4 linked regions of the Tamandua tetradactyla genome follow. Each later gene encodes a partner of the first gene's protein in a complex. Links are inferred from orthologs where the notes say so. Each region holds a gene or a part of one and is shown in the gene's direction. Other genes may lie near its edges.

Region 1 (7,003 bases):
CTACCTGAGGCTGTTTCATTCCGCTTCACAGTTGTAGACACGTTCTGTTAACTTTAAATTGTGCATTTAAAATTCATTCTCAGATGTATTTTAAATTGGTTCTTAGAAACCTATGTCTTATGAAAATGAAAATATCAATTAATAATGGAAATAAGTATTTTATCAGTTGACTAGAACTATAGAATTGTTCCAAAATGATCAAAGCCACCAAAATAATCACCGAATATACACATCCAGTGTGAATGTGTTCAGGTACTTGACAGGATTTAAAAATATTTATTTTTATTCATAAATCTGAACATAGAAACATCCCACACATCATCACATAATTGTGTATTCATCACCATGATCCTTTTCAGAACACCTGCTCCAGAAAAACAAATAAAAAAATCCATCCATACATACTCATTGCCTCTCCCTCTCACTGACCACTAGTACTTCAATCTACCCAATTTATTTTAACCTTTGCCCCCCCCCATTATTTGTTCATTCTCCATCCGTACCCTGGATAAAGGGAGCATCAGCTGCAAGGTTTTCACAATCACACAGTCACATTGTAAAACTAAATCTTTATACAGTTGTCTTCAAGAACCAAATCTACTGGAACACAGCTCTACAGTTTCAGGTGCTTCCCTCCAGCCTCTCCAATACATAAACTAAAAAGGGATATCTATATAATGCGTAAGAATAACCTCCAGGATAACCTCTCGACTCATTTTGAAATCTCTCAGCCACTGAAACTTTGTCTCATTTCTCTCTTCCCCCTTGTGGTCAAGAAGGCTTTCTCAATTCCTGATGCTGGGCCTCAGCTCATCCCGGGGTTTTGGTCTCACGTTGCCAGGGAGATGTACACCCCTGGGAGTCGTGTCCCACGTGGGGGGTGGGGGGTGGGGGAGGGCTGTGAGTTCACGTGCCGTGTCGGCTTAGAGAGAGGCCACATCGCAGCAACAAAAGAGGTTCTCTGGGGGTGACTCTTAGGACCAATTTTAAGTAGGCTTAGCCTATCTTTTGCAGGGATAGTTCCACAGGAGCAAACCCCAAGATCAAGGGCTTGGCCTATTGAATTGGTTGTCTCCACTGCTTTCAGGAATATGTGAAATTCTCCGATTGGGGAAGTTGAATATTTCCTCCTCTTCCCAGTGCCCAAAGGGAATTTTGCAAGTGCTTCTTTATTCACTGCCCAGATCACTCTGGGATATATCGGGGCATCACACTAACCTCGACAACCAACAAAATCTCATACCCTATTCAAGATTCCATGTACTTTTAGTGTTCAACTAAACTGACCCCACAAGTTAAATTAGGAAATGCACTACCCAAAATATGTTTTGCACCCAAAAAAAATCCCTCTCTTTGGTCTCACAGAGAAGCTGAACTTTCAAAATATGAATAATATCATCCTTTACTCTGTATTCTGATTTACCTTAGTCCCATCCAGATCAGCTTCATTCATCGATTCTTCCTTCATAGGACTTTTGTGACTAGGAGCAGTACGTGATTATCTGATATGAATCCTAGTCACTCAGTAATAGCTAAAAGTGAGAAACAAAGCTTTTACCCCAGCAGTCTCTGATGGAAAAAGATGCCAAGTATACATTCTAACTAGTAGGGAATTTCATTCTGTGTCCCCTCCTTGGGTCACAAACATGGCCTTGGGACCAGAAAGTAAGTTCTCAAGAAACAAAAGGATGGGCACATCTCAAAGGTCACAGGAGTCACCTGAGACAGTTCCCAAAGGCCAAAGCGGGAACAATCTGAGCCCCCCAAAAAAAGACGTAGTATGAAAATATAACCCAAAGAACAAACATGAAATGATACTGATATAGATGACTGAATAATAAATAAGGGGAGAGGAGACACGTAGTCACGTGTGTAGATATGAACCGTCTACAGGACACAGAAGTCAATTCCCACCTCAGCCCTGAAGAAGGGGCTGGGCCTAGTGACCGGCCTCTGAAGAACAGAGGACGGAGAGGGAAGCACACTACCTCAAAGCCAAAGAGACCAGGCAGACACGACCTCGACCCAGTGCTGAAGGTCAGCCTCACCAGGGACGGGGCTTCCATGCACCCCTGTGTGCCCAAGACCTCCCCTCCAGCATCCTCCCAGCCACGCCCTGGGGTCACCCAGGGAAGACAACAAAGAAACCCAAACTGGGATACAATGCCCAAGACACCTGGACAGTCGCCACAGCACTGCCAAGGTCGTGAAAATCAAGGAAAAACTAAAACGCTATCACAGATCAGAGGGGACAGGGGCAACAGGACAACCAAATGCAATGTAACACCTTGGATTGGGTCCTGGGACAGAAAGAGGACATTAATGGGGAAAAAAATTAGAAATTCAAATAAAATATGGAATTTGGTTAAAAGCAATGCATCAATGTCTCTTTCTTAGTTTTGACAAATAGACTATGGTCCCACAACAAAGAATTATCGAGCTCAAAATGTCGATAGTGGCGGATGCCTGGGTGGTTCAGTGGTAGAATGCGCGCCTTCCACGAGGGAGACCCGGGTTTGATTCCCGGGCCATGCACCACCCCCACCCCCAAAACGTCAGTAACCCCAACACTGGAAAACTCCTGGACTGAGATGACAGCAGTAGAGGTGTCAGAATCAGCCAAGGTCAGGCCATGTTTGGGAGATACAGCCCACAAGATGTGATGCTATTCCAAAAGTAGGGGAGGGAGGGAGGGAGGGAGGGAGAGAGAGAGAGAGAGAGGGAGGGAGGGAGGGAGAGAGGGAGAGAGAGAGAGAGAGAGGGAGGGAGAGAGAGAGAGGGAGAGGGAGAGAGAGAGGGAGGGAGAGAGAGAGAGAGGGAGAGAGGGAGAGAGAGAGAGGGAGAGAGAGAGGGAGGGAGAGAGCCAGCACTGCTTCAGACATCTAAAGTGTGAGGTGGCCATTGATCCCCAGGGACGGTGTTAGGTGGAGAGCTGGGTATAGACGGATGGGGTGGTGGATAGATGGATGGATGGTAGAAGGATGGATGGATGATGGATGGGTGGGTGAGGGAGGGATGATGGATGGACGGATGGATGATTGATAGATGGATGGATGATGGACGGATGATTGATGGGTGGATCATGGACGGATGGATGATTGATAGATGGATGGATGATGGACGGATGATTGATGGGTGGATGAGGGATGGGTGGATCATGGACGGATGGATGATTGATAGATGGATGGATGATGGACAGATGATGATAGATGGATGGTAGAAGGATGGATGGATGATGGATGGGTGGGTGAGGGAGGGATGATGGATGGACGGATGGATGATTGATAGATGGATGGATGATGGACGGATGATTGATGGGTGGATGAGGGATGGGTGGATCATGGACGGATGGATGACTGATAGATGGATGGATGATGGACAGATGATGATAGATGGATGGTAGAAGGATGGATGGAAGATGGATGGGTGGATGATGGACGGATGATGGACGGATGACGGACGGACAGTCCAAGCAGGGAGAGGCTGGAGAAGAGACCTGGCCAGCCCTGAGCCCTGGGGCGCTGTAGCGTCCAGAGGCGGGAGGCGGGAGAACTCTGGGGACGGAATACGCTGCCTTGTAAGAAGCGAAGGGAGCTGCACCCGGCGGAGGACCCGCCCACGGAGCCAAGCGCAGCGAGGGGCCGGGGAGGTTCCGATGACCCGCCGCGCGGGGACGCAGCGCGCCAGGCGAGCGCGGGGGCGGCGGCGGCGAGCCGGGCGGCGCTCGGTCCTCGGCCTGGGCTGGGCTGGGGGCCGCGGGCAGGGCCGGAAGCGCGCAGTCGGTGCGCCGCCCGCCGAGCACGCCGCAGACGGCGGCCCCTCCGCGGGGGCGGGCAGGGGGCGCCGCGCACCTTCGCCTCGGCGCCGCGCAGCTTGACCCGGGCCCTTCCTTTCGGGGCTCGGCTTCCTAGTCGGCCAGGGAAACGCGAGGGACAGCAGGGCGGGCGGAGCGGGCGCGACGCACTTCCGGCGCGCGGCCCGAGGCCCTTCCGGCGCGCATGCCGCCCCGAGGTTCGGCCGCAGGCGTGCGATGGGTCCCGGCGGCTCGGGGCGCGGAGTCCCCGGGCCCAGCCTGAGGCACCTGACCGACCCCGCCTACGGGGCCCCGCGCGAACAGCAGGAGCCCGCCTTGCAGGAGCTGACGCGGGCGCACGTGGAGTCCTTCAACTACGCGGTGCACGAGGGGCTGGGCCGCGCGGTGCAGGTGAGGGCGGCGCCCCGCTGCTCGAGGCGGGCGGGGAGAGGCCGGGCGCGCCCAGCACGGCCGCCGGGGCTCGGGCTCCGTCGTGTTTCGAGGCGCCGTGCATGCGCCGGGAGCGGACTGGCGGAGGAGCGGGTGCGAGGGGCGGCCTTTGGCCCCTGGAGACCTGTCCGGTTGCGAACGGGGAGTTGGGCTTGTGGTTTTCTGGGTTTGTGGGTGACTGCGAACTGTGCGGATTCTGGGTCCTGAGGCCGGGAGGAGGCCACGCGCTGTCGCTGTGCTTCCCGACCGTTCACGCCGTGCGGACTTCTATACCGCGGGACCGCTTTCCTCGAAAGGTGTTGAGCCTGTTCCTGCGTGGGCTGTGAAGTGCTGGGTCCTCTCTCAGCTTTCTTTCTTTTTCCCCGCTTAGCGCTTTAGAGAAGAAAACCACGCTCTGAATGAGTCAGGTGTCGAGGAAAACGTGAGTGAGCTGTAGAGGCAGGGTTTCTTGTGGCACTCCCGGGAAAGTAGGACGTCCTCTGCAGTAGAAAAGGTGTCAGGCATCTTACTCGCCTGTGCTCAGCCCTAAGTGGTCGAGAAGGTGGTGGGGAAAGGTCTCGCCTGATGATCGCGCCTGGCTGTGAGGGGAACGGGGACGCAGAGCTTGCTTTTGAGTGTCGGTTTCACGGGGGGCCGGGTGGGGGTCTGAGACAGGGATTCTCCTGAGAACTGCTCGGCCCAGGTTGAGTAGCTGCTGTCGGTGCATATAGGAAATGCAGCCAGGTGTATGAGAAAGGTCCAGATTCGGGGAGTCGAAGGGAAGAGGAGAGTTCATTCCCTCCAGTGAAAGTGAAGGAGCAGAACCGCATTCTCAGGGAACGCTCTGCGGCCTGACGTTTCTGTTGAGTAGAATTTGTGTTTTCAGTAAGAATTGAGATAACATGAAGGACTTTGGTTGTCAGACTCGGGTACTTGCATTCTTTTCTGCAGGTAATGTGGGGGCCGTTGCAGTTTATGTTCCAAAGCAATTGGCTGTAGCCGGTTTTTTTAGATGTGTTATCACCTTGGCACTATAAGCATCAGTGCATGTAGAACACATGGGGTCTCAGAGTCTTTGAGAAAAAGTGCCCTGGAAGTGCAGTCATTTAACAGTGTGAATTGTATTTCAGGCTATACCTCCCTTCGAATTTGCTTTCCAAGATGAGCGCCTCTCTCTTACTATTGTGGATGCTGCCATCAGCCCACCCACAGTTCCAAAAGGGAGCATCTGTAAAGAGCTTAAGGTTTACCCAGCAGAATGCCGAGGCCGAAGGAGTACCTACCGGGGGAGATTGACAGTGAGTACACATGACATCGTGGCTCTGACACTTCACAACTCTGGTTAAGGGTGTATCTTATGAGTTTATACCGGAATGCTTTCTTAGTACAGTGATCTAGGAGAACCCGTCTTTTAAATCTAAATCATAAAATAATTTGTGGTCTTTTTCCTCACTGTTTTGAAATTCTCATTTTTTCTCGAAGATCCAGATAATTTTTCTTTTTTATTAAGTAATTTTTTTCTCATTTTTATTTAGGCTGATATCAGTTGGGCAGTGAATGGAATCTCAAAAGGAGTTATTAAACAGTTTCTTGGCTATGTTCCCATTATGGTGAAATCTAAGCTTTGCAACTTACACGGCCTTCCTCCAAAAGCCCTCATCGAGCACCATGAGGAAGCAGAGGTGATTGCTGGGACCCGGTGCCCTGAAAGGTCCTGTGGTAGGAGGGAGCAGGTTTGGGAGTGAGAAACCCTGAGGCTTCTTGGGAGTCAGTTTTTCTTTCTCTGCTCCCATTTCTCGGTACATAAAATGGGACGTGATGTCTTGTCTCCATCCTGCATAGGGCTTAGGATGTGACAGTTCAGATGAGTCGGTATATGAAAGTGTCGCTGTGCTATCCAGGAGTGTTTTTGCTGTGGCAGAAGAATTTGCAGATTTTCCTCTATTTTCTGAACGATGCAAATTTAAAGACATAATTCCAGGAAATTTGTCTGCTTTTTAACTTTTTATTTTGAAATAATTTCAAACTTAAGCCAAGTTGTAAAAATAATACAAAACCAATAGAGAACTCCCAAATACCCCCTACCCAGAATTATGATCTTTTAACATTTTATCACATTTTTTATCTCATTCTGTCTCAATCTGTTTTTCTAAACATTGGGCATAGGTTACATATATCATGTTCCTTTAACATTAATGCTTCCATGTATATTTCTTGAGAACAGCAATACTCGTTTATGTAACCACATTTAAATTCAGTTATCAAGTCCAAGAAATTTAATGTTGATAGTAAAGCGTACACTCTATATTCCAGCTTTTTCACTTGTCCCAATATTGTCCTTTTGGGCATTTTCTCCTCCGTTATTAGAGCCAGTCCAGGATCATGTCAATTGTTGTTGTCTCTTTTAAAAATTGTGATTTTACAGATTTCCCTTCTCAGCCACTCCCGAATTTCCAGTTCATTGGGGTTGGTTACATGCATATGTCTTGCTACCCTCACCACCCTCAATTACCACAACATCCTATCATCCCAAACTGAAAGACCATGCTCTGAACGCATTATGCATTATTGGGTTGATAGACACTTCCATCTTTTAGCACTTGTGAATAATACTGCTTCCATCTTGTAGCACTTGTGGATAATGGCGCTATGAACACGGTGTACAAATATCTGTCGAGTTCCTGCTTCCAGTTCTTTTGAGTATATATACCAAGTAGTGGGATTGGGAAAGTAACCTGATTTCCTTCCATATTCCCTCCCATGTCCCTGGAATCTTTTTCC
Region 2 (7,444 bases), on another chromosome or scaffold:
TGTCCATTTTTAGTTGAGTTGTTTATTGTTTTAATTGATTTGTAGGTATTTAGTATCTGTTATGGATAGAAGTCCTTTCTTGAATATATGTATTGTGGATATCTTATCTTAGTTTTTGATTTGGTTTAACAATATCTTTTAATGAACTAGAGCTCTTAATTTTAATGAAGTACAAGTTAGCAATCTTATTTTTCATGGTTAATGCTTGTTTAAGAACCTTGGCTTGCTCCATATCATGAAGATATTCTATGTTGTTTTCTAGAAACTTTATGATTTTATTCATCACGTCATTCTATGATTTATTTCAAATTAATATTTGTATAGAGTGTGAGCAGGGGTCAATATTTTTTTCTTATCAATGCTCAACTGATACAGTACCATTTATAGAAAAACCATCCACTCCCCACTGATTTGTAATGGCACCTTTGTTGTAAATCAGTTAATCTTATATGTATTTAGGGGTCAGTTTCTGGACTTTCCATTCAATTTCATTAATCTTTTTCTTTAACTTTGCACCAATACCACATTGATTTTTTAGCACTGCTCCCATAAACACTGGTGTGCAAATATCCATTTGTGTCCCCACAAATGGATTTCAGGATTATATGACAACCCTACCCCTAGCCTCCTGTGGAATCACCACACTGCCCTCCAAGGGGCTGCAACTCTCATTTTCCCTACTGACAATGAATAGGTACATCTTTTTTTCTGCATTTTTTTCTAGCACTTGTTTCTCTCTGTTCGTTTTTAAACAGTTTTATTCACATATCATAAATCCAACTTAAGTATAGAGACATGATGTTGCCACCAGAACCTATACGAAGACACTTCTTTTTCTTCCACAGAGAATCCATACCTTGCCCCATGCCCCTCCTTCTTGGCATTTAGTTTTGGCATAATGCCTTTGTTATATTCAGTGGAAGCATATTACAGTGTTACTGATGACTACAGACCCTAGATTGCATTGATTGTACTTTTTCCTGTATACCATCTGTTCTAGTTTGCTAGCTGATGGAATGCAATATACCAGAAATGGAATGGCTTTTGAAAGGCGGAATTTAATAAGTTGCTAGTTTACAACTTATTAATTGGGACTAAGGCCGAGTCCGAATTAAAACAAGTCTACACATATGTCCAATCAAAGGCATCCATCCAGGGAAAAACACCTTGGTTCAAGAAGGCTGATGAAGTCCAGGGTTTCTCTCTCAAGTAGAAGGGCACATGGCGAACACAGTCAGAGTTCTTCATCTGCTACCTCCTTCTCCTGGCTTCCTGTTTCATGAAGCTTCCCGGGAGGCACTTTTCTTCTTCATCTCCTAAGGCTGCTGGCTGGTGGACTCTGCTTCGTGGTGCTGCAGCATTCCCTGCTCTCTCCAAATCTCCCATTCTCCAAAATGTTTTCTCTTTTATAGGACTTCAATAAACCAATCAAGACCCATCCAGATGGGTGGATACATGTCCTCACCTAATCCAGTTTAACAACCACTCTTGACTAAATCACATCATCCGGGGAGATGATCTGATTACAGTTTCAAACTACAGTATTGAATAGGGATTATTCTGCCTTTATGAAATGGGATTTTGATTAAAACATGGCTTTTCTAGGGTGCATACATCCTTTCAAACCAGCACACATTTTCAACATCTTGCAATGTGGACCATCATTTGTTCTCCCTCATGCAGAAACGTTTTTTATTTGCACATTTAATCACTGTCATTGTCCCCTTTAGTCATTCCTAAATTATGTCAATTCAGTCTTTATCTACCTTTCCTTCTGGTTTCATATGTGCCCCCAGCCCTTCTCCCTCAATCATAATCACATTCAGCTTCATTTAGCGTACTTATTGTTAGGTCGGGGGAATAAGGGAGGGCTGTAAGGCTGGAATCATGAAGTCACTCCAGAACAGGAGGTGAAGGGAGGTGAACCATTACAATCAAGGTCCTTGAGCAGCAAACATCTATTCACGGACATCTAACCACCCGCTGCTCAACCCGTTAGCATAATAATCCTTTGTTTAATATGCTGCCCCTTTCATGTCATCACCTAACCCCTGCCCTTAAAAACTGCACTCGCCAAAGCTCATGCGGGGACTCACCTCCGTCCCTCTTGGGTTCGGTGAGCTCTGCCCCTGAGTGCAGCCCAATAAAGCATGCTCATTTACAATCCTTTTGTCTACTTTCCTTTCTCTCAAATACCTCATATCTTAAAACCTTTTACTTATATTATTGTGCTACAGTCAGGTAGTACTGTGCTATCCATTTCTGAATTTTTACAATCAGTTCTGTTGCACAATTTGTATTCCTTCAGCACCAATTGTCCAATCTCTATCCTATTTCTATCTCCTGATAACCCGTGTTCTTAACTTTAACCCTCAAAGTTCACTCATTAATGTTAGTTCAAATTAGTGAAACCATACTGTATTTGTCCTTTTATTTCTGGTTAATTTCACTTAGCATAATTTCCTCAAGGTTCATTCACATTGTTATATGCTTCATGACTTTATTTTGTCTTACAGCTGCATAATATTCCATCGTATGTATATACCACAGCTTGTTTAGCCACTGGTCTGTTGACAGACATCTGGGACATTCCATTTCTTGGCAATCAAGAAATAACTAACTTTTACAGAGGAGGCAAACTGAAGTAAGTAAAAACAGAAAACAAAACAAAGTAAAATAAAATGAAAAATGTGATTAGAAAACCAGGTCTGATGCAACAACTTGTGTTCTTTTTCAAATATCTCATCCATGCTATTGAAAGCCAGCAAGAAAAAAAAAAGGCCGGTTAAGTACTCCCTCTCCTCATGCCTCCCTCCCTGCAAGCCTGATCCCTCCAGAAAGTGTCTCTTTTCTCAACCTTTTCTTCCATCTTGCTCTGCATCAAAATGCACCTGTCCCATGCACCATCTCTTCAGGCCCACAGTCTCTATGTTCTAGGTGATGAGGCAGAGATTGTGGTAAAAAAAGAGTCCTACCTTCCTGGCAACATGGGACAGAGATCCTGGAATGAGCTAAGACTCAGCATCAAGGGACTGAGAAAAACCCTAGAATGAGCTGAGAATTAACATCAAGGGATTGAGAGAACCTTCTTGACTAAAGGGGGAAGAGTGAAATGAGACTAAGTGTCAATGGCTGAGAGATTCCAAACAGAGTCGAGAGGTTATCCTGGAGATTATTCTTACGCATTAAGTAGATATCACCTTGCTGTTCAAGATGTAGTGGAGAGGCTGGAGGGAACTGCCTGAAAATGTAGAGCTGTGTTTCAGTAGCCATGTTTCTTGATGATGATTGTATAGTGATATAGCGTTCACAATGAGACTCTGTGAATGTGAAAACCTTGTGTCTGATGCTCCTTTTATCTACCATATCAACAAAAGAGTAGAACATATGGAATAAAAATAAATAATAGGGGGAACAAATGTTAAAATAAATTTAGTTTGAAATGCTAGTGGTAAATGAGAGCAAGGGGTAAGGGGTATGGTATGTATAATCTTTTTTTTCTCTGTTATCATTTTATTTCTTTTTCTGTTGTCTTTTTATTTCTTTTTCTGGATCGATGCAAATGTTCTAAGAAATGATGAATGTGCAACTATGTGATGGTATTGGGAATTACTGATTGTATATGTAGAATGGAATGATATCTTAATGTTTTGTTTGTTGTTAATTTTTTTTAATTAATTAAAAAAAGAAAAGAAAAGAGTCCTAGGCTTTTGTGAAAATTTCAACATTGAAGAACTACTATGTTGAAAATTTGGGTATCCACAGAAGGCCTGAGTCTGGTGGGAGAATATAACTGCACTTTCGGTGAGACCCCAGTTGCCCTCAGATTCTGTATTGATGCCTTCTTCATGTGAGGGAAAGCTGCAAGGAATCCACCTCCTCTGATGGAGAAGAAACTGAACAGAAAAGACAGCTTGTGGAAGACGTTAAAAGACTCACTGAAGAAGAGAGAAAATATGACATGATATCCCTGCTTCTGACTCCCTCACTCGCTCTCTCTGAATTTTATCAGGCAATTTCAGATGCAGTATTCCGCTTCAATATTCTGTGTCTGTCTGTCCCTCTCTCTTTAAACGTATACCTGTAGGTAATACCAAGATCTGTATGACTATCTCTTAAGATAATTTTGTTTTGCTTTTAATAGTTGGATAGATTTTGTCAGTCAGCGAAGATGCTGTTTTGTTTACTAAATAAAATTGGCATTCCAATTGCCTCATTTCCCTTATTAAAAAAAAAAAAAAACCCAGTAAGGGGTGGAGAAAGGAAGCCGTGCATTGTGAGCGCGGGTAGCTCTAGCTCTGGAACTTGGCCCTCCCTAGCCTCCCTAAGTCTCGCAACGAAAAAATGGGTCCTGTAAGGCACCACCATTAGAACGAGGCGTGATTGGATTAGTTCGGCAGCAGGCCCCGCCCAATTGTTTATTGGCTGGTTTTAGTTAGCAAGACTAGAAGCGCCTACCGGATTTACGCAGTTTTGCCCCCAGAGCTTGTCCAGGTTTCACCGAGGCCGCAGGCACCCGGAACCCAAAGCCAGGGCTTCCTGTTTCCGGCAGGAGGGCTGCACTATCCGCTCCCGAAAGCTGCGCTCCAGACCCGGTTCATAGTGCCCGGCGGCGGTGGTGGCGGCGACGGGGGCGGCGCCGTTATGGACCTAGAGGAGGCGGTAAGGAGGCGGTGCCGCTGGCTGCCGGGGCACAGCTGGGACTGGAGCGGAGTGAGGCTAAGGGGAAGGGGTTGGAGGATGCTAAGTGGCTGTGAGGCAGGCCGCCGAAAGTAGAGGGGCGGGCCGGAAGGATGCGAGGCCGGGAAACGGGCCAGGGTTGGCGGGCGACTCGAGTTCTTGGGAACGAGACAGGAGTTTCAGGCTCAGCGAGGTTGTGGGTGCAGGCAGGGTGGTTTGTTTGTGATATGGGTGTGTTTAAGGAGGAAGATGAGGTTGTGGGTTTTGTGGGGAGGCCACCCACATGGCGCATCCTTTGTCAACCGGACCACCCACAAGTTCCCATTGATGCTGTGGTGGGGGAGGGAGGGGCAGAGGCTGGAACCAGAATCCACCCAAGTAACCCCTGCAGATCTCTCTGGGAATCCTCGCCTCGGTCTGGTGCAGTGATTCCAAATACCGGTTTGCGGACACCCCAATGTTAAGGTAGTTATCAGCATGGGGTCGTTGAAGACTTGACCACGTTGTCAGAACAATTTTGCTTTCATTTTTGACATGCCTCATAAAATGCTGCATTCTTTAATGGTGTCGACGAAGTGTTAGGTCTTCTTATCAAGAATAATAAGTTGTGCAACACCTAAGACATTAGGAATCAGTGATTTAGTGTCAGTCAGAGTTAGGTCTTTGACGTACAGAAGCAGTATGATGATAGAAGGCCTTACTCATAATAGCTGCTCAATAAGTGTTCATTGATTGATGAATGGTTAATATACATTAATAATTATAACTCACCATTAGCATGTATACTCTGAGTAGGGATCACGTAGGGATCACGTCTGTTTCACTCACCATTGAATCCCTAGCGTCTAGTAAAATGCCTGATACATTTAGTTATACTCAAATAACTATAATAGTTGATACTCATTATAATTGCTGAATGAATACAATGAAACTTGAAACAATTCTAATAAAAATCTGGTTTCTTTGTGGTGAGTGTGTGTTTTTAGGGACCTGAAGGAGGTTCCAAATGATATGCTATTTCTATGTTTTAAGTCTTCTCTATACTTAAAGCTTGCCTTTTTTTCATTCAGTGTTTTCAAGGAGTTTTATTTACTCTTCTCTGTTTGCAGTTTTACCCTTACCACCTTTTCTTCTTTTTCCTCACACTATATATATTTTAGAAAAGAGTTTGATTTGCTTTATACTGGTTCAGAGACTGAATTGTTATTCGCCTCTGATTTATTTTTATTTCGATGATTTTCATTTATAAAATGTATTAAGTGTAATTTGTTCGTTAACACCTTTTCTATCCTCTTTTCCTATAGAAAGAGTTCAAAGAACGCTGTACTCAGTGTGCTGCTGTCTCTTGGGGCCTTACCGATGAAGGCAAATATTATTGCACTTCGTGCCACAATGTTACAGAAGTAAGTAATTGATGTATCATTTATGAATTCGTTTGCTTCAAAATTGCAGTTTCAGCCTGATATATAACACAGTTCCCAAAGAATATTTATTTTTATCACTCATGAAATGTGAAAATTCCAAGAAATGTAAGTAGTCTTCAAGTACTTACACACGGGTTAAGGAATTTGTGAATTAGATTTAAGGTGAGTTTTTAAAATTAAGTTGGGCCACACTTTTAAATGATTTTCTGATTCGGCATTTAAGATTTAAGGGGAAATAATTGAAATTGTACTCAGAAGATGATACATTTCTATGTTAGTTAATGCTTAAGAGCTTTTAATATGCTTCATATCATTTTATTTTTGTACAGTACCTTACAGATTACAAAGTGTTTTCTTATCTCATTTCTTCTTCATAGGGAACTGTGAGATATGTTATGTGAGTATATAGATGAAGCATCTAGGGTTCACAGGATTTGAGTGAGCTTGCTAAAGGTACCAAGTGTGAAGTGTCTGAGCCAGAACTTGAGCATGAGTCTTCCTTACTCTGGGGTTCTTTTCACCCCACCACACCTGCCTCTTAAAATAGAAATTATCATGCAGTTCTGTGTGATCTTGGTGAACGGGGAGCTCTTGGTCCTGTTCTGGTTTCACGCTGTAAGAGTAACAGAACCAAAATAATCAAAGGTGTGGACAGCCTGCTAAAATGCAGGACTCTGTTGAAAGGGATTTGCTCCGAGTCTACAGAGGCAAGATGGAGCAAATAATCACATTCACCAAGTAAGCTTAAGAAAGACAAATATGGAGCAGATAAAAGTAAATGTGTAGACTTCTGGGCAAGATGAAGTCCCTGGGACCATATTTATTTTCCTACTTGAAACAGCTGCAAACCTGGGCAAAATATATGAAACAAGTAAAAAAAAAATGTTTTCTTTGAGAAAAGTGGTTAATTTAGCTGGCAGCTCAATTGCACAAGTGCTTTTCCTTGAGACAATTGTTGTACTTCAGTCTTCAGCTGAAGGGCTCGTGTGTACTTCCCATGTGTTCACACATAGTGTTAAAAAGATTTGTTCTTGCTTGATGAAATTGTTGGGGTGATGGGCATGCTAATTATCTTGATTGTGTTGATGGTTTCAAGGACAGCTCATCAAATTGTACGCTTTATAAATATATTCCGTTTGGTGCCTCTGCCTTGATTTGTGTTAAGTCTCTAGCGATTTTACTTACCATTGTTTTGCACCAGCAGTGCAAATGTAAACATAATGAAGAAACATGATAACTAAATGGACTGTTTACTGTCTGCAAAGTCAGTATACTATTTTTGTAGAAATTGAGCTATATTAGCTAATTGCTTCTTTTATTTCTGCATGTGATAATGTTTC
Region 3 (6,887 bases), on another chromosome or scaffold:
CATCGGGCACAACGACTCTGTCCATATTCCAGGAGCTCTGGGGGAGTCCGAGGGGATGGGAGATTCCTCCAGGGCTCAGGCCCTCCCAGGCGGATCCGAGCAGCTTCCTCTTTGGCAAAGGCCCCAAGGTCCTGAGTATACCGGCCATACATCTGGAGCAATAGGGAAGATGGGGTGTTGGCAGAAGTGGGCCAAGAGGGAATGCAGGGAGGGCCCCTGATGCCTCGGCTCCCTTTCTCCCAGTCCCACATTGCAGACCCCCCTCGGAACACACTGTTCCCCTCTGACTCCGGGTTTGGGAACAATACACATTGCAGACTGTGGGCGCTGTACTGGCCTGAGTGATGGGGACAGCCAAGGTATAGGGACTCAGCTCTGGGGGTGGCTGAGTAATCAGTCCTCTTCTCACAGGCCTGGGTAGGGGTGGGGGGACTGAGGAGGAGTGAGAAGGAAGGCCCCAGAGGAGGAAAAGGCCTAAAATACAATCTGAAAGTGGGAGGAAAGAAGGTCAGAGAATAAGGGATGGTCAAGGGCAGCTGGGGGCAGCTCAGAGTTGGGCCCGGGCACAGGCGGGGGCCCCAATCCTTATCACGTTCTTGCTGGGCCTCTGGCCTGTGATCCACTCAGCTGCAACCCCTCCCACCCACCATAATCCCCTTGTCCTCATTCCCCACCCCGCCCCTCCCCAACTGCTTGCCAGCCCAGCTAGCTAGGATGAGTGGAGGGTGCTCAGTGGCCTTAGTCCCATGCTGCTGCCCTGAGCCCAGTGGTGGGCTGGGGGACAGCAGAGGTTGCCAGCGGTTGGCCTGTGACTGGATGCTCCCGCCATGGGATGGGGGAGAGTCGCCATGGCCAGACCTGCCAAGCTGGGCGTGTGTTAGGGGGTGGGGAGGAGGAGATTCCGGCTGCCACCCGCAGAGCTTCGGGACACAAAGGGCTCCTGTTGGGGCTGGGGGTGGGGAGGGGGAGGGAAAGATAGAAACACAGAGAGGGTGAGAGATAGGAGAGAGGGAAGAGAAGTAGAAAGAGGAGGAGGGAAAAACAGAAAAGAGAAGCAAGGGGAAGGGACAAGAAGAAGGAGGCAGGAGAGGGGAAGAAGTAGGGAGCATGAAAGAGAAGGAAAGCAGAGTATAAAGAAGCAGACACAGTGTAGCAGGGGGGAGGTGAGTGGGTGAGAGAAAGACAAAGGGATCAGATAGGGAAAGGGGAGAGGCTGGAGCAGAGAGTGCAGAGAGACAGCTTGACCCTGGGAGCTCATTCCAGAGATAGGGACAGAGGCAAAGGAGATAGAGATGTGGCTGGTGCGACAGACAGACAAATACCATTTTGGGACCAATGTCCCATCCTCGGCCTGTAAGACTGACGGAAACCTTCTATCCTATCCTAATGCTTGCCCTGCTAACCGCACTCCACTCCACCCCTGCCATCTCTCTTGTAACTAGGTACTTCCCAGCCTCAGTTACAGCCCAGGGCCCTTCCTCCTAGAGAAGTTCCCTCCTTGCCACCTTTCTGGGCAAATTCTAGCTCAAGGTAATGAAAAAGAGCCACAGGATCCGTTCTCTTCCCTGGAGCTTGAAGGTCCTTCCCCAGTGACCAAAGGAGGGGCATTTGGCTTCTCAAAATTAAGTAACAGTGCTGGCCTTGAGTGAGCTCAGAGCCCCAAGACCCCTGCTTTTAATGAGGTCAAGGGACACCCCTGGAATGGGTGGGGGACTGGATATTCAGAGTCAGCATGGACAAAGGTCCCAGTTCCCACACCCATTCCTGTTGACCGGTCCTCCCCAAGCTCCTGTTCCCCAGGGCTGGTAGCAGGATGTCTTTTCTCAGCGAATTGACTGAAGGGCCCAGGCAAGGCTGGTTGTCAGCCCCCAGGGGTAGGGGCTGGGTTTAGGTCTGATTATCTTTCTACACCTTGTTTCTACGTCTAGCACAGTGCCATGCATCATGCACGATGGTGGAGCGTGAGGAGAAAGTCCTTGGTGTGTGTGTGGTGGTGGGACGGGTAGTGGGGGTGCAAGAATTGGACCAAAGTGGTGTGGGGGAGGAGAAAGGAAAACGTGTGCATGTGTGTGTGTGTGTGTGGTGGGGACGGGTAAAGGAAGAGATACCTGGGACAAGCACCTGGTGTCCTCTGCAGGCCCCTAGCCTGCATGTAGCTTTCGACCCCTCTGACCCTCCAGCCTTTCAGATCCCTTAGCCTCAGTTTCCCCATCTCAGAAGGCTGGGGTGGGTTCAGCGTAGGCCCACTCCTGGCGCCTCCAAAGGGTGAATTGGAGCCGCGGTGCCGGAGTGCACCCTAAGGGCTCGGCTCGGCTTCACTTACCAGGGTCTGCTCGTACTGCAGCGCCCGCGGCTCCATCCCTTCCTCCGCCGCCGCGGCAGCCGCCGCCGCCATCGCTGCGCGGGGCCCTTTCGCCTCCGTCTGCAGCTCCGACCCGGGTCGGGACTCAGCTCCAAGCACGCAGAGCCTGCGCCGGCCCCCGTCCTGTCCCCGCAGCCCGGGCCGAGTGGAGAGTGCGGCGCGCCCCAACCGGGCGCCCTGGCGGAGCCTCCCGCTCGCGTCCCCTCCCGGGCGGGCGGGCCGGGGGCGGGGTCCTGTGCGCCGCTAGAGCCCGGCCCAGCGCAGTCGGGGTCTGCTTTGGGGCCGCCTTCCTTGGCTCGGGAGGGGCGGCCGAGGGCGCGGGGCCGTGCGAGCACCCGGGGCTGGGGCGGGGGCCGGTCCGCTGGCACGTGGAGGAGTCGGCGACCGTGAGGCCGACTGGCCTGGAGTCGGGGGCTGTTGGAGCTGTCTAAAGGAACCTAAGGAGCGCCGTCCTCTCTGCTCCGGCAGGGGTGGGGGTGGGGGTGGGGGTGGGGGGTGGCCCTAAAGGCTCGGCTGGGCCTGGATAGACCTCTCTAAGGGGGCATTTTGGACAAAAGAGCGGTGGGGAGGGGAGGTGCTTCTTGGTACCGAGACCCTGGGGCTCCGTCCTCCTCCCCTTCCTCCGGACCCCCGCCTCTCGGAGGTGCACTTGGAGGAACCTGGCCTGGGGGTGGGGGTGGAGTGGCTGACGAGGTAGGGAGGGATTGGAGAGGGGTAAGGCCCGCGGGAAGGGAGAGCTGGGTGTCGGAGCGGCCACTCCTGGTTGGCGGGCGTGGGGGGCAGAGGTCGCTTCTCCCCCGCTGGGCCCTAAGAGAAGCTCGAGGAGCTGCTCACGTCTCGCCACCCTAGGGGAACGGCCTGCGGGGGCTTGGTGTCCCCTGTCAGGGTCCGGGGAAAGATAGGGTACAGAGTTGGGGAAGCCCAACGGTGGATAGGCAATACCAGAGCGAAGTTAGTGAGAGGGCGAGGGCAGTTAGGAAAGGGGTAGCATACGGGACGGAGCAGCACCAGGATGAAAGAGGCAGAGAGGGTGCGCAGGGGGAGGGGAGCCAGCCCCAGGAGGAAGGGGCAGTGCGAGGAAAGAGCTGGTAGCCAAGAAGAGGATTGTGCCGAGATGCAGGGGTATACAGGAGATCAGTGTCCAGAGGGAGAGGGCAGTGGTGGGGGAATGGGCATCATCCGGCTTGAGGGGCAATTCTCCGGGGAGGGCGGCCGGGGAAGCGAGCAGGGCCCAGGACAAGAGAGCAGTGGTGGGGAGGGGACAGTGCAGGTTTTCCTTTTCCCTGTGGTGACATCACGGCAAATTCCCAAACCGGACGGACCCGGCTCAGGTGACGTCTAGCAGGGCAAGCCGGTCCGGGCCGCCCCGGGGGACCTCGATCCCAGCTGGAGGGCCTGGGCACGGCGCCTTGCCTAGCCAGTGCCCCCGAGGCGGGGTTCTGCTCCGCCCGCCCTCGGGGCGGACTGTGCCCTCGGCAGACACGCGGACCGGCAGGGTAGGGCTAGGGCCGGGCTTCTCTGGGCCAAGGATCAAGGTCCCAGTCAGAGGTATGCCTCCACGCTTTCCCGCCTTCGCAACCGAGAGTCTGAAGAGGGCGCAGTGGAGACCAGGCCAGCTAGAGAACTCGCACCACCTCTGCCTCGGTCAGGGGCGGGGCCAACCGGAGCCCCGCCCCCCAGTCCTGGAATCTCTCGGATGCTATTACTGGGAGCGGAAGTTATGAAGCCCCGAGAGGAACGCGACGGAAGTAGAGGCACTATGGCCAGCTTTGCGCATGCGCGACGCCCTGGCTCCCGCTGTTTAGGCGCTATCCTTTTCCTTCCACTCTTCTAAAATCCACACGAGGGGGTGTGCGGACCCCCAGTCGTGGTCGCGCATCCGGCACCCCCGCTGCTCTCGTGGCCTTTTCACGATGGCGGGCATCCTGTTTGAAGATATTTTCGATGTGAAAGACATTGACCCGGAGGGCAAGAAGTTTGACCGAGGTAAGGATTGCCGGCGCGCTTGGAGGGGAAGGGGCTATAGCCCTCCTCTGCGACACGCCCCCGGGTCCCCCGTCTCGTCCTGACTTGCGTGGCCTGCCCTTACCGGCAGGCCGTGATGTAGGGGACCTCCCTTAGGAAATTGTTGTTTGGAAACAACAACATTATTGTTTTTATTGTTGAGGAAACTTAGATTGCGAGTTCTCCCTGGCTTCACACATGCTGTGCCCAGTGCCTGGGTGGCGTTTTGTCACGGTGCAGATTGGTTATCTTTCGTAATTATAATCGCTCCCTCTGTGTTCAAGTAGCCATGTTTCTTGAAGATGATTGTATAATGATATAGCTTTTGCAGTGTGACTGTGTGATTGTGAAAACCTTGTGTCTGATGCTCCTATCTACGGTATGGACAGATGAGTAAAACATAGGGATTAAAAATAAATAATAGGGGGAACAAATGTTAAAATTAATTTAGTAGATTGAAATGCTAGTGATCAATGAAAGGGCGTGATAAGGGGTATAGAAAAAAATAGGGGAAACAAAGGCTAAAATATATTGGGTAGATGGAAATACTGGCGGTCAGTGGGAGGGGCGGTTAGGGGTATGATATGTATGAGTTTATTTTTTTCTTTTTCTGAATTGATGCAAATGTTCTAAGGAATGATCATGGTGATGAATATACAACTATGTGATGATATTGTGAGTTATTGATTATATATCAAGAATGGAATGATCGTATGGTAAGAATGTTCGTTTTTGCATGTTGTTATGTTTAAAAAAATAAAAAAGTAAAATAATAATAATAATAATCGCTCCCTGCTCTGCTACGCTTTCCATTGTGCACCTCACACACACTTTATCTTACTCATTCCACAGCCCCCATGAGGTAAGTGGTGACTTCTGTATTTTGCCGGAGAGGTTAAATAACCCACCCTAGGGTGCACAGCAAATAATCTGAATTCTGAGTTTATATTGTATTGCCTTCAGAATCCTTAGCTGTTTGTGAAGTCCTCTCTGAGTTAGTTAACTACTTGGTATAAATGTTCTGTCACTGATCAATAATTGTTTCTCCTTGGTGTCTCTTCCTTTGCCTGGAGACCAAAATGTTCTTTCAGGTGCACACCAGTCCTTATACATCCTGGCAATCCTCTCAGCACATAGCCTAACACAGAAAGACTAAACCTGTGGATGAATGAATACGTTGCCCAGTCAGGTAGTTTCTTACCTATACAGGGCTAGAACCTGGATATTATTCCCTGCCAGAGGACCTTTGATTCTCTTCGGGGGACTCCATTTCCTAGCCATAGTTTTCATCCCCTTTTCCTTCTTGCATATCTGGTTCTGGTGGAGCCTGTACTTCTATGAGAGTGGAGGAGACGCCAGTGAATGCAGAGCAGCTGGGTTCGATTGTGCTCTGTCGCATATAACCCCCAAAGTGGGTCTGTTCTGGGCATGGCAGTTACTTCTGCCCTCTTTTTTCACTCCCCCCAGTGTCTCGACTGCATTGTGAGAGCGAATCTTTCAAGATGGACCTCATCTTAGATGTAAACATTCAGATTTACCCTGTAGATTTGGGTAAGTGTTGTACACAGATAATAGCAAGGGACTTTTTGATGTTACAACTTGTTTTCATGCTCGTATATTGGCGTTATTTCCAGGTGACAAATTCCGATTGGTCATAGCCAGTACCTTGTATGAAGATGGTACACTAGATGATGGTGAATACAACCCCACAGATGACCGGCCTTCCAGGTGAGGGAGTTGAGAAGAGGCTAATTGAAATACCCTCTGAGGACGAGTAGATAAAGTGGCGTAGAAAGACCCTTATTTAATTCATGGAATAAATGATTATCAGCAGAATCTGAGTAACCTCAAGGAAATTGCTGCATTTAAGAATTGAGATAGACAGGTATTTATCAAGCAGTGATTACATGCTTGTGAGTTGTAGTTTTTTGATGGCTGAGAGAATGACCACTATGTGACATAGGTGATATGAGGTTTGGATTTTGGGAGAGAGCTTGGTATGGTGGAAAGGCTTTGGAGCTCCATGAGTTCAAATCTCAGCTCTATTGCTTATTTGCTCAATATCCTTAACCTCTTTTGGCCTCAGTATCTCCCTCATCATTAAAATAGAGACAGTTATATCTAGCCTACAGAGATGCTGTGAAGATTAAATAATAGCGTATCTGTAAAGTGCCTGTTATAATTCTGGCATTTAGTTACTTGTTAACATTTTAAAAGGGCTTCTTCTTATTGTTAATTACTATAAACGATAACTTTGTCACTGTTGTTTCACAGGGCTGACCAATTTGAATATGTAATGTATGGTAAAGTGTATAGGATTGAGGGAGATGAAACTTCTACTGAAGCAGCAACACGTCTGTAAGTTTGGTGGTCTTGTGAGACCCTTTCTCCCCTCCCTGTCCTGAAAATTTGAGCCATGCTGAGCTTCCTGTTTTGGGTCCTTTTCCACAAGCACCTCAGAAGGAAACTGTTCTGGAAAGGTTCCAAGTTTAAAATATAGGCTGCTCACTTCGCCCTTTGT
Region 4 (7,407 bases), on another chromosome or scaffold:
CTGGGCAGACAGATTTTGACAGTTAGGATTGCCACCATTGTACAGTTAACATTTAAAATCTACTTTCCTCACCTGTAAATATATACAATAATTGTATTGAACTCAAAATGATTCTGTTAGTGAAATAAGGTAATTTGCATAAAGCACTTAGCACAGTGACTGGTAGATTTGTAAAAAGGTTAGCCATGATGATGTGATATTGGTGGTTATTGAGGTTTTGATGAAATCATCACACACTCTACCAGTTTGATAAAATCAGCCAAATAAGAATGATGAAACCCTTCCTGTCAGTACTATTATTGTTCTTTATCCAACTTAGGTGTATGTAGGGACTTCCAATATGTGCAAGTATGCATCAGAAGTAGGCCCTCAGCCTCTCGGGCAAAGGACAAAGGATTTGAGATCAGAAGCTTTCCATGATTTGGATTAACACTGTGTAAGTCCCAGAGTTTAGGCACCAAGATGTGTCATGTGCTTCCATTCTCTCTAGTGGAAACCTGTACAACTGCCTGGAAAGCAAGCTCCATCCAACCTGCTAGAAGAGGAGACACCATATCCAGCAAAGTTGGCCATTACATCTAAGGCTATCCTAGATGAGCCAACCCCCAGCTAACCTAGCAGCTGACCATGGGAGCATGAGTGAGCCCTGTTGAAGCCAGAAGAATCCTCTAGTTGAGCAAAGTCCAAAGTGTCTACCCATAGAATTTCTAGATAAATTCATGGTTGTTACTTAGAGCCACTAGACTTGAGGATAATTTTTAATGTACTAAAAGCCAACTGATACACTGTTCTTTTTACTTGGAATGTACTTTTTATGAAACTCTTTTATGTAATCCTTAATCCATAGGTCAGAACTCCTGTCTAATTCCATTTCCTCATTAAAGCCCACTCTAATAACTTCAACTTTATAAAAAATGAGGAAAGGAACTTGCCTAAAGTCACACACCTAGGAGGTGGCAGGACCAGGATTCAAACTCACACAGTTGACCCTAGCACCTATACTCTTCATTTTGCACTATTAAACTATCTAATAATAGAGAATTTCCTATAATAACCAAAATTCAACCAAAGGGTTCATTTCACTGATTAAGTTTCTGATTGCTATTTTAGCACACAACAGTATTTGCTTATTACTATAATTTATGAAAATTCACCCAAATTAAAGAGCAAAATCCATTCACAAGAGATAACTAGTATTAATACATGGTATTTATAATCCAGATTCTTTTCTAAGTGCAAAATTTTTAAGGTCTTTTCTAAGGTCAAAATACACAAGGATAAGTTGATTCAGACCAGCTAAGAGGTACCTGATCTAATAACATCTGTGTATGTCTATGGGGCAGGAGGCAGGTGGGAGAGGTCTCATGATACAACTGTTTCCTTCATCCCTGGATGACAGCTGGGACAGGCTAATCTGATATAGTAACTCCATAATAGTGACATTTACCTGCAAACTGACTCAACTTTTCACTCTTCCTAACTGTGCAGAGTATAGATAGTGGCTAACAATTAAGCCAGAATTTAAGAAAAAATAGTAGGAAGCAGTTTGCAAAAATCAAGGAAATTGCTTGTGGACACATGAAAGGTTACAAAACTACTCCATGGGGCACTGCATTTATTATCTATGGAAATTCATTACTGGGATATTTGACTTGAGACAGTTTTGTTTGGGCTAGATTGCCCTGATGTCTAGCTTACTTTTAAATTGCTTTTGGACAAACTGTTTGTATTCAAATCATCTGGAGCCAATCTAGATTCATCTAACTGCACAGTGTAATCACCTGTAGAGTTTCAAAACCATTAATGTCTGTGTCTCACCCTAAGAAGTTTTGGTTTAATTGATCTGAAGTCCCTGTAGGCATCAAGATTTTTTTAAAGCACCTAGATGATGTTAATGTTTAGTCAAAGTTGAGAACCACTGCAGGAAGGGGTCTTCACAGGGGTGTTTTAAGACAAAATCAAGGTAAAAGTTGCTACATTTCCCACTTATGGACTTAAATGTCTATCATGAGGTTTTGGGAGAAGTTTCACCCCATTATCATCTCATGTCAGTTTGAAGTCAATTAAAGAATTCTGAAGAAAATACTTATTTACCTTATTTGAACATTCTAATATTGCTTTTAGATAGGGCAAGTACTATATCTCTATTTTAAAGTAAGGAAACAAATTTCAAGAGTTTAGAGATTGTCTTAGTTTGCTAGAACTGCTGTAACAAAGTGCCACAAACGAGTTGGCTTCAAAAACAAGAACTTATCATCTCACAGGGTTGGAGGCCAGAAGTCCAAATTTAAGGTGTCAGCAGGATTTTGCTCCTCTGAAGTCTGTAGCGTTCGGGCAATGGCTTATTGGCACTCCAGAATGGAATCTCCACCTCTGTCACATGTCCTTCTTCTCTCTGGGTCTTACCGAGTGTTTTCAAATTTCCTCTGTTTATAAGGATACCATCACATTGGATTAGGGCCCACCTTAATATAGACTGGCTTCATTTTAACTAACAACATCTTCAAAGATCCTAATTTACAATTAAACTCAGTTACAGGACGGAGGATAAGGAATTGAACATGTATTTTAGGGGAACACAATTCAATCCATCACCTTTTGTAGTATCTAGGTGTGGAAGGCTCGGGTTATGTACCCCAGAAAAAAAAACATATTCTTAAGCCATTCGTGGTGCATGTGAACCCATCATTAATTGGCCAACTGAGTCGGGATGTGTCTTAATCCTATCAGTGAGGCCTTATTCATAAGGCCATAGGAAGAAAGTCACCAGGGAGCAACAGAAGCTGGAAGTCAACAGAATCCAGAAGGAAAAGAAGATGTTGCCATTACCATGTGTTGGAAAAGCCAGGGACACAGGATTGCCAGCAGCCCGCCCCAGAACGGCATGGCCTTCAGGGAGAAAGCACTGCCTTGCTGATACCTCAATTCTGGACTTCCCATAGCCTCAAAACCATGAACAAATAAATTCCCATTGTTTAAGTCAACCCACTTTGTATTTGGGATTGTAGCCAGGAAACTAGGATACAAGGTGTGGGGGGTAGACAGAGAGAAGGAGGGATTTAGTACTGGCATCGCTCGTTACCATACTTTTCTCTTTGAACTTACCCGGTGTAACCCATGTTATGTTTATGTTTAATTCTCATTTTCTCATATAGGCTGTGAGTTCTTTATCATCAGTTATTTCATTCATTCACTATTCATTCATTTAGGGTAGCTGTATTTCCTTTTTTTAAAATCATGAGGGGGATTGCAGTGGTGAACAAGACATTTATCACAGTCCCCATCTTAGAAAGCTTGGAGTCTAGCAACGGAATAGGCAAGCAAAAGGGCAGGTGCCATTAAATACAAATGCCTCACAGTGGTGACATACATAGATGAGGAAATAACTAAACCCTACTGGGGAAAAAGGGGCAGAGATGGTGGCAAACTCCTTGCAGAGAAAGAGAATATAAAACCTGAGCTAAAAATCGATGCATGATTAGAAGTTACCCATATGAGAGAAGTTACCATATTCCCAGTCAGAGGAACAGTCTGAAGAGCCAAAGAGAGAGCGAGAGGGAGCATGCTTGAGACTACACGATTGAGAATGAGAGAGGGAAGATGATGTTTAAGAGAGAAGGAACGAGAAGATCATAAAAGGACTTATAATCTGTGAGCCATATTGAGTTTGGAGTCATCGTCAGGAAAACGCGGTGCTTATAGAGGGCTACAAAACAGGGCTCAAGATGATCATGATTTGTGTTTCAAAGATTTGGCGGCTCCAGAGAATATCCTTCTCTCCTTTAGGCTAGGTTTCCACAGGCAGGAGAGGAGAGAGACTTGTCTTGTGGTTTTGGAAGCGGGAATGGACGGAAGAATTTGAAGAGTCAGATGTTTCTACTTTGAGCCCAAAGACCCCTGGAGTCTGATTGGATGTTTGGACGCCAAGGATGACAGGTGGGTTGGATGACCGGTGGTGGTTCGATTCCCTGAATTCGCGATTGCAGAACGAGGAGAACCAAACTGGCGAGAGAAGGTTGATTCGCTTTCTGGTTTGCTGCATTTGAGGCATCGGAGCAGCTTTTAGGGATTGGGTTTTCCGCATAAAATAGACTCCATATTTACTGACTACTTGTGAGGTCCAAAAAATCCTACCAAATTACTACTGGAAATATTCAGAGCGGGAATCCCCACTAAGGCCATATACAAATTCAAAGGGGAGGATGTTACCGATAAACACACTTGGTTGCTCTGTGAAAACAGTTTGTCCTCTGCGCATGCTCAGTAAGCACCGCAGGTTCCGCTTTTCCGCAGTCCTCCAGGCTCGCGGTTGCCCCCTGCTGGTCATATACGTGTGCGTAATGCCGCTCAAAGAAGGGAAACGCCTCCAGGCAGGGTAACTAGTGGATGACGTCAAAACCGGGCGTCGGGAGAGAGACGGGTAGGGGTCAGTTTTACGCGCCGTGGGAAAGCTGGCAAGCCGCATGGCTGCGGCTCGCTCAGAGATTCTGCGGCCAAAGGTGGCCTCTGAGGCGCCCCTGGTGGGATCGGCCGGCACCCTGTCTTGCTTAGAGTTGCCGACCTACAGTGCCGCTTGCGCTCTGGTGAGTAGCCGCTACTCCTGCTTGGTGGCCGGGCCTCACCGGAGGCACATCGCGTTGTCGCCGCGCTACCTGAACAGGAAACGCACCGGCATCCGAGAACAGCTCGATGCGGAGCTTCTGCGCTATTCCGAGAGGTACCAGTCTCTTTTTCTTCTCCGGGGCAGCGTTATAATGTAATCTGCGTCTCCTTTCGGGCAGGGGAGGAGGGGACACCGAGTGGATGTTCTGAAGAAGTAGCAGATAGTCAAAGTCGCAGCGGCCCCCTGGGAGCTTAAAGACCCGAAGAAGTTCAGGGGTCTCCGTTCACCCCCCAAAGCCAGTACTGCGGTGGTCGAGATCTGCACAGAGGCCCTTTCGTAGACAGAAAACTGAAAGGTGAAGTGACGTGTGGGTGGGGGGAGTGGAAAAGCTTCTTCCAAAGCCATGGTAGGGTAAGAAGAGACCAGAGGTATGGAACCCGGGTAGGCCCAGGTTTGTTAACATTTAGCTCCTCGATTATCCCCTTCCGGATAACGTTTCCTCGTTTGACAGATGAAAATTTGGAATGCAGCATCTCAGTAGACTCACAGAAAATTGTCCATGAAGCATGAGTACAAATGTTTAATTATAAAACCTAAAGGATGGTTTTGGTTATTGTTTGGGCCCCAGTGGGGATGAGAGAAATACCATTAATTCTTTGTTTTTTAAGAGCGGTTTGTTCAGCCTACTTGATTTGCCTTTTGCTCTTGGAAGTGAAGGGGAGTGGGGACCTCATGCATTTAAATCAAGGTTTTCAAAATTACTTGAAAATTCTTAAGAATTTACATATATGAAAAAAGATGTGCTTTAATACTAGTCTGGGCTACTTTATCCTAAAAACAGAAGTCCAAAACTATTGGTGAATGGATTCCTTAGGAATTTATGATTTCAGAAATTCCATGAACCTCTGGAAATTGCAGGGATTTTCTATGTCAATTTCCTTGGGGACAGCATTCAAAACTTTTGCCATTTTCTCAAGAGATCCTGAACTCTACCCATGTTAAGAACCAATCATTTCAATCAGTCATATACAGTTTTCTACAAGCACCAACAAGCATTTGTTGTGTCTGTGTTGTACATCAGGGACATGGAGTACAAAAACAAACAAACAAAAAACAAGATCTCAGCTTCAAGGAACTTTAAGATCCAGTAAAGAGATATAAGTCAGATCCACTGACGTGTTAAAATTTGACAGAACTCTGTAAAGATACAGCAACAGGAAGAGTGGTGAATTGAATCGTGGGAACTTTGAGAACGATATGATAGGAGGAGTAATTTGAGATGGTAATAGTGTTACAGGTAGAGTGGCATAAACAAATGGATAGAGATGTGAAACAGTATGCTATGACCATGGATCTATAAGTACAATATAGCTAGAATAGAGTCTATGTCAGGGGAAAGGCAGTGGGTGCAATTGGAGAGGAGAGCAGGGTATTAAGGACACTGCCGTGAACACAGTGAGATTATGGAGAAAAGGGGGCTCAGAAGGGATGATCATTTTGCTCTTCCCTTCCTCCCTTTGCCTTTTTTTTTTGTTTGTTTGTTTTTAATGTGCTTAAGCAGGGTTAGCACTGTATCCTTCATTACACTCTAATTCTGAAATTGGTACTCTGTTGAGAGAGTGGTACATGTCAGTGGTCCCTGGAACATAAACACATTTCTAAAACGCAGTTTTAGAAACATCACTTTGGTACCATTAGATGATGGTTTAAGGAGGTTAAGGCAGTAGACACAGAAACCAGTTAAGAGATATCTATAATCATCAAAGAGAAAAGTGATGATAGGATGGATTTGAGAGAGAAAATCTGGAAAAATAGGTGACTGATAGATCTTACTACTTTCTGTAACCAGTTAATCTTCCACTTAGCCTGCTATAAGAAAGTCAACCATAATTGCTCCAGTAGATGCCTGGCTACACCAGAGTAGTGAGGGACTGATTGAATGATAATTTCTGTAGCTAAATTGGACAAATATGTACATGTGGAAGAAGCTGCGTTCTGAGCAGATCTGGACCCACCTTACTCCCATTACTTGTGGGGTAAGCTAAAGACATAGGTATAATTATGTACAGAACACCCAAGTCATCTAAGTCAGCAAATCAGATTTTTTATGTCCAGAGATTAATAGAAATGCTGCAGTAATGCACCACACATTGAACCATGCATTGTGATGAAAGATAACACATTGAACATATTGTGAATTATAATGTAATACCAATTGACCATTTGGCATACCTAGTTGTTTATATTTCTAAACTTTATGGCCATCCTTTAAAATCAGTAAACTTACTTGCTTCTCCTTGTTAGGGATTGAGGAAAAAGGAGGACTGAAGATGGTTTGGCAGATTAGTGTTAAGTTGTCTCAACAGCATCCCCTATTTGACAGACTATCTGCTCCCCTCCACCTTTCCCCCCAGAGCCAGGATATTCTTTAAAGGTATCCCATTTCAACTTTTCTTAGAGAAAGTAAGTAGTTTTCTAAAATGACATTATAACTTCTAAGTTGTGCCTTTGGGTCGTTCAGAAAAAAAACCTTATCTTCCTTCCATATGATAGTTCTTGTGTTATTTGAAGTTGGCGAATGTGTTCCCTCAGTAGTTCCGGAGAAGTCTTAAAGGTACACTCTAAGTCCCTTAAACTTGATGTAATTGTTCCCTAAATTTGCCAAGTGGGAGTAACACCTACCCTGAAGCCTACTTGAGATAGATAGTAAAAGTAAAGGAGGAAAGGAAATATATGTTGGAGTGTCTTTGTTTAGATTTCTGATGACTTCTAGTAAGTTACATGCTGTAAGTTGCTCTCACAAA

The links.
Region 2: POLR1B (region 1) and TAF1B share a complex: the UniProt entries of both Homo sapiens proteins name them as parts of the pol I pre-initiation complex. The link is inferred for Tamandua tetradactyla from reciprocal best matches to the Homo sapiens genes POLR1B and TAF1B.
Region 3: POLR1B (region 1) and POLR2H share a complex: the UniProt entries of both Homo sapiens proteins name them as parts of the pol I pre-initiation complex. The link is inferred for Tamandua tetradactyla from reciprocal best matches to the Homo sapiens genes POLR1B and POLR2H.
Region 4: POLR1B (region 1) and POLR1F share a complex: the UniProt entries of both Homo sapiens proteins name them as parts of the RNA polymerase I (Pol I) complex. The link is inferred for Tamandua tetradactyla from reciprocal best matches to the Homo sapiens genes POLR1B and POLR1F.

The regions. Positions count from the first base shown.
Region 1 is NC_135343.1:496,710-503,712, reverse strand, and holds the start of POLR1B (DNA-directed RNA polymerase I subunit RPA2), read left to right. Parts: upstream 1-4,003; 5' UTR 4,004-4,030; coding exon 4,031-4,204; intron 4,205-5,352; coding exon 5,353-5,520; intron 5,521-5,757; coding exon 5,758-5,904; intron 5,905-7,003. UniProt on the Homo sapiens protein: Catalytic core component of RNA polymerase I (Pol I), a DNA-dependent RNA polymerase which synthesizes ribosomal RNA precursors using the four ribonucleoside triphosphates as substrates.
Region 2 is NC_135329.1:56,006,942-56,014,385, forward strand, and holds the start of TAF1B (TATA box-binding protein-associated factor RNA polymerase I subunit B), read left to right. Parts: upstream 1-4,441; 5' UTR 4,442-4,644; coding exon 4,645-4,662; exon of another isoform or gene 4,663-4,834; intron 4,835-5,984; coding exon 5,985-6,083; intron 6,084-7,444. UniProt on the Homo sapiens protein: Component of RNA polymerase I core factor complex that acts as a GTF2B/TFIIB-like factor and plays a key role in multiple steps during transcription initiation such as pre-initiation complex (PIC) assembly and postpolymerase recruitment events in polymerase I (Pol I) transcription.
Region 3 is NC_135336.1:2,711,248-2,718,134, forward strand, and holds the start of POLR2H (DNA-directed RNA polymerases I, II, and III subunit RPABC3), read left to right. Parts: upstream 1-3,873; 5' UTR 3,874-4,275; coding exon 4,276-4,348; intron 4,349-5,833; coding exon 5,834-5,917; intron 5,918-6,000; coding exon 6,001-6,094; intron 6,095-6,640; coding exon 6,641-6,724; intron 6,725-6,887. Other genes in the region: CLCN2 (chloride channel protein 2), read right to left, coding at 1-152, 2,324-2,395. UniProt on the Homo sapiens protein: DNA-dependent RNA polymerase catalyzes the transcription of DNA into RNA using the four ribonucleoside triphosphates as substrates.
Region 4 is NC_135327.1:104,391,891-104,399,297, forward strand, and holds the start of POLR1F (DNA-directed RNA polymerase I subunit RPA43), read left to right. Parts: upstream 1-4,399; 5' UTR 4,400-4,463; coding exon 4,464-4,717; intron 4,718-7,407. UniProt on the Homo sapiens protein: Component of RNA polymerase I (Pol I), a DNA-dependent RNA polymerase which synthesizes ribosomal RNA precursors using the four ribonucleoside triphosphates as substrates.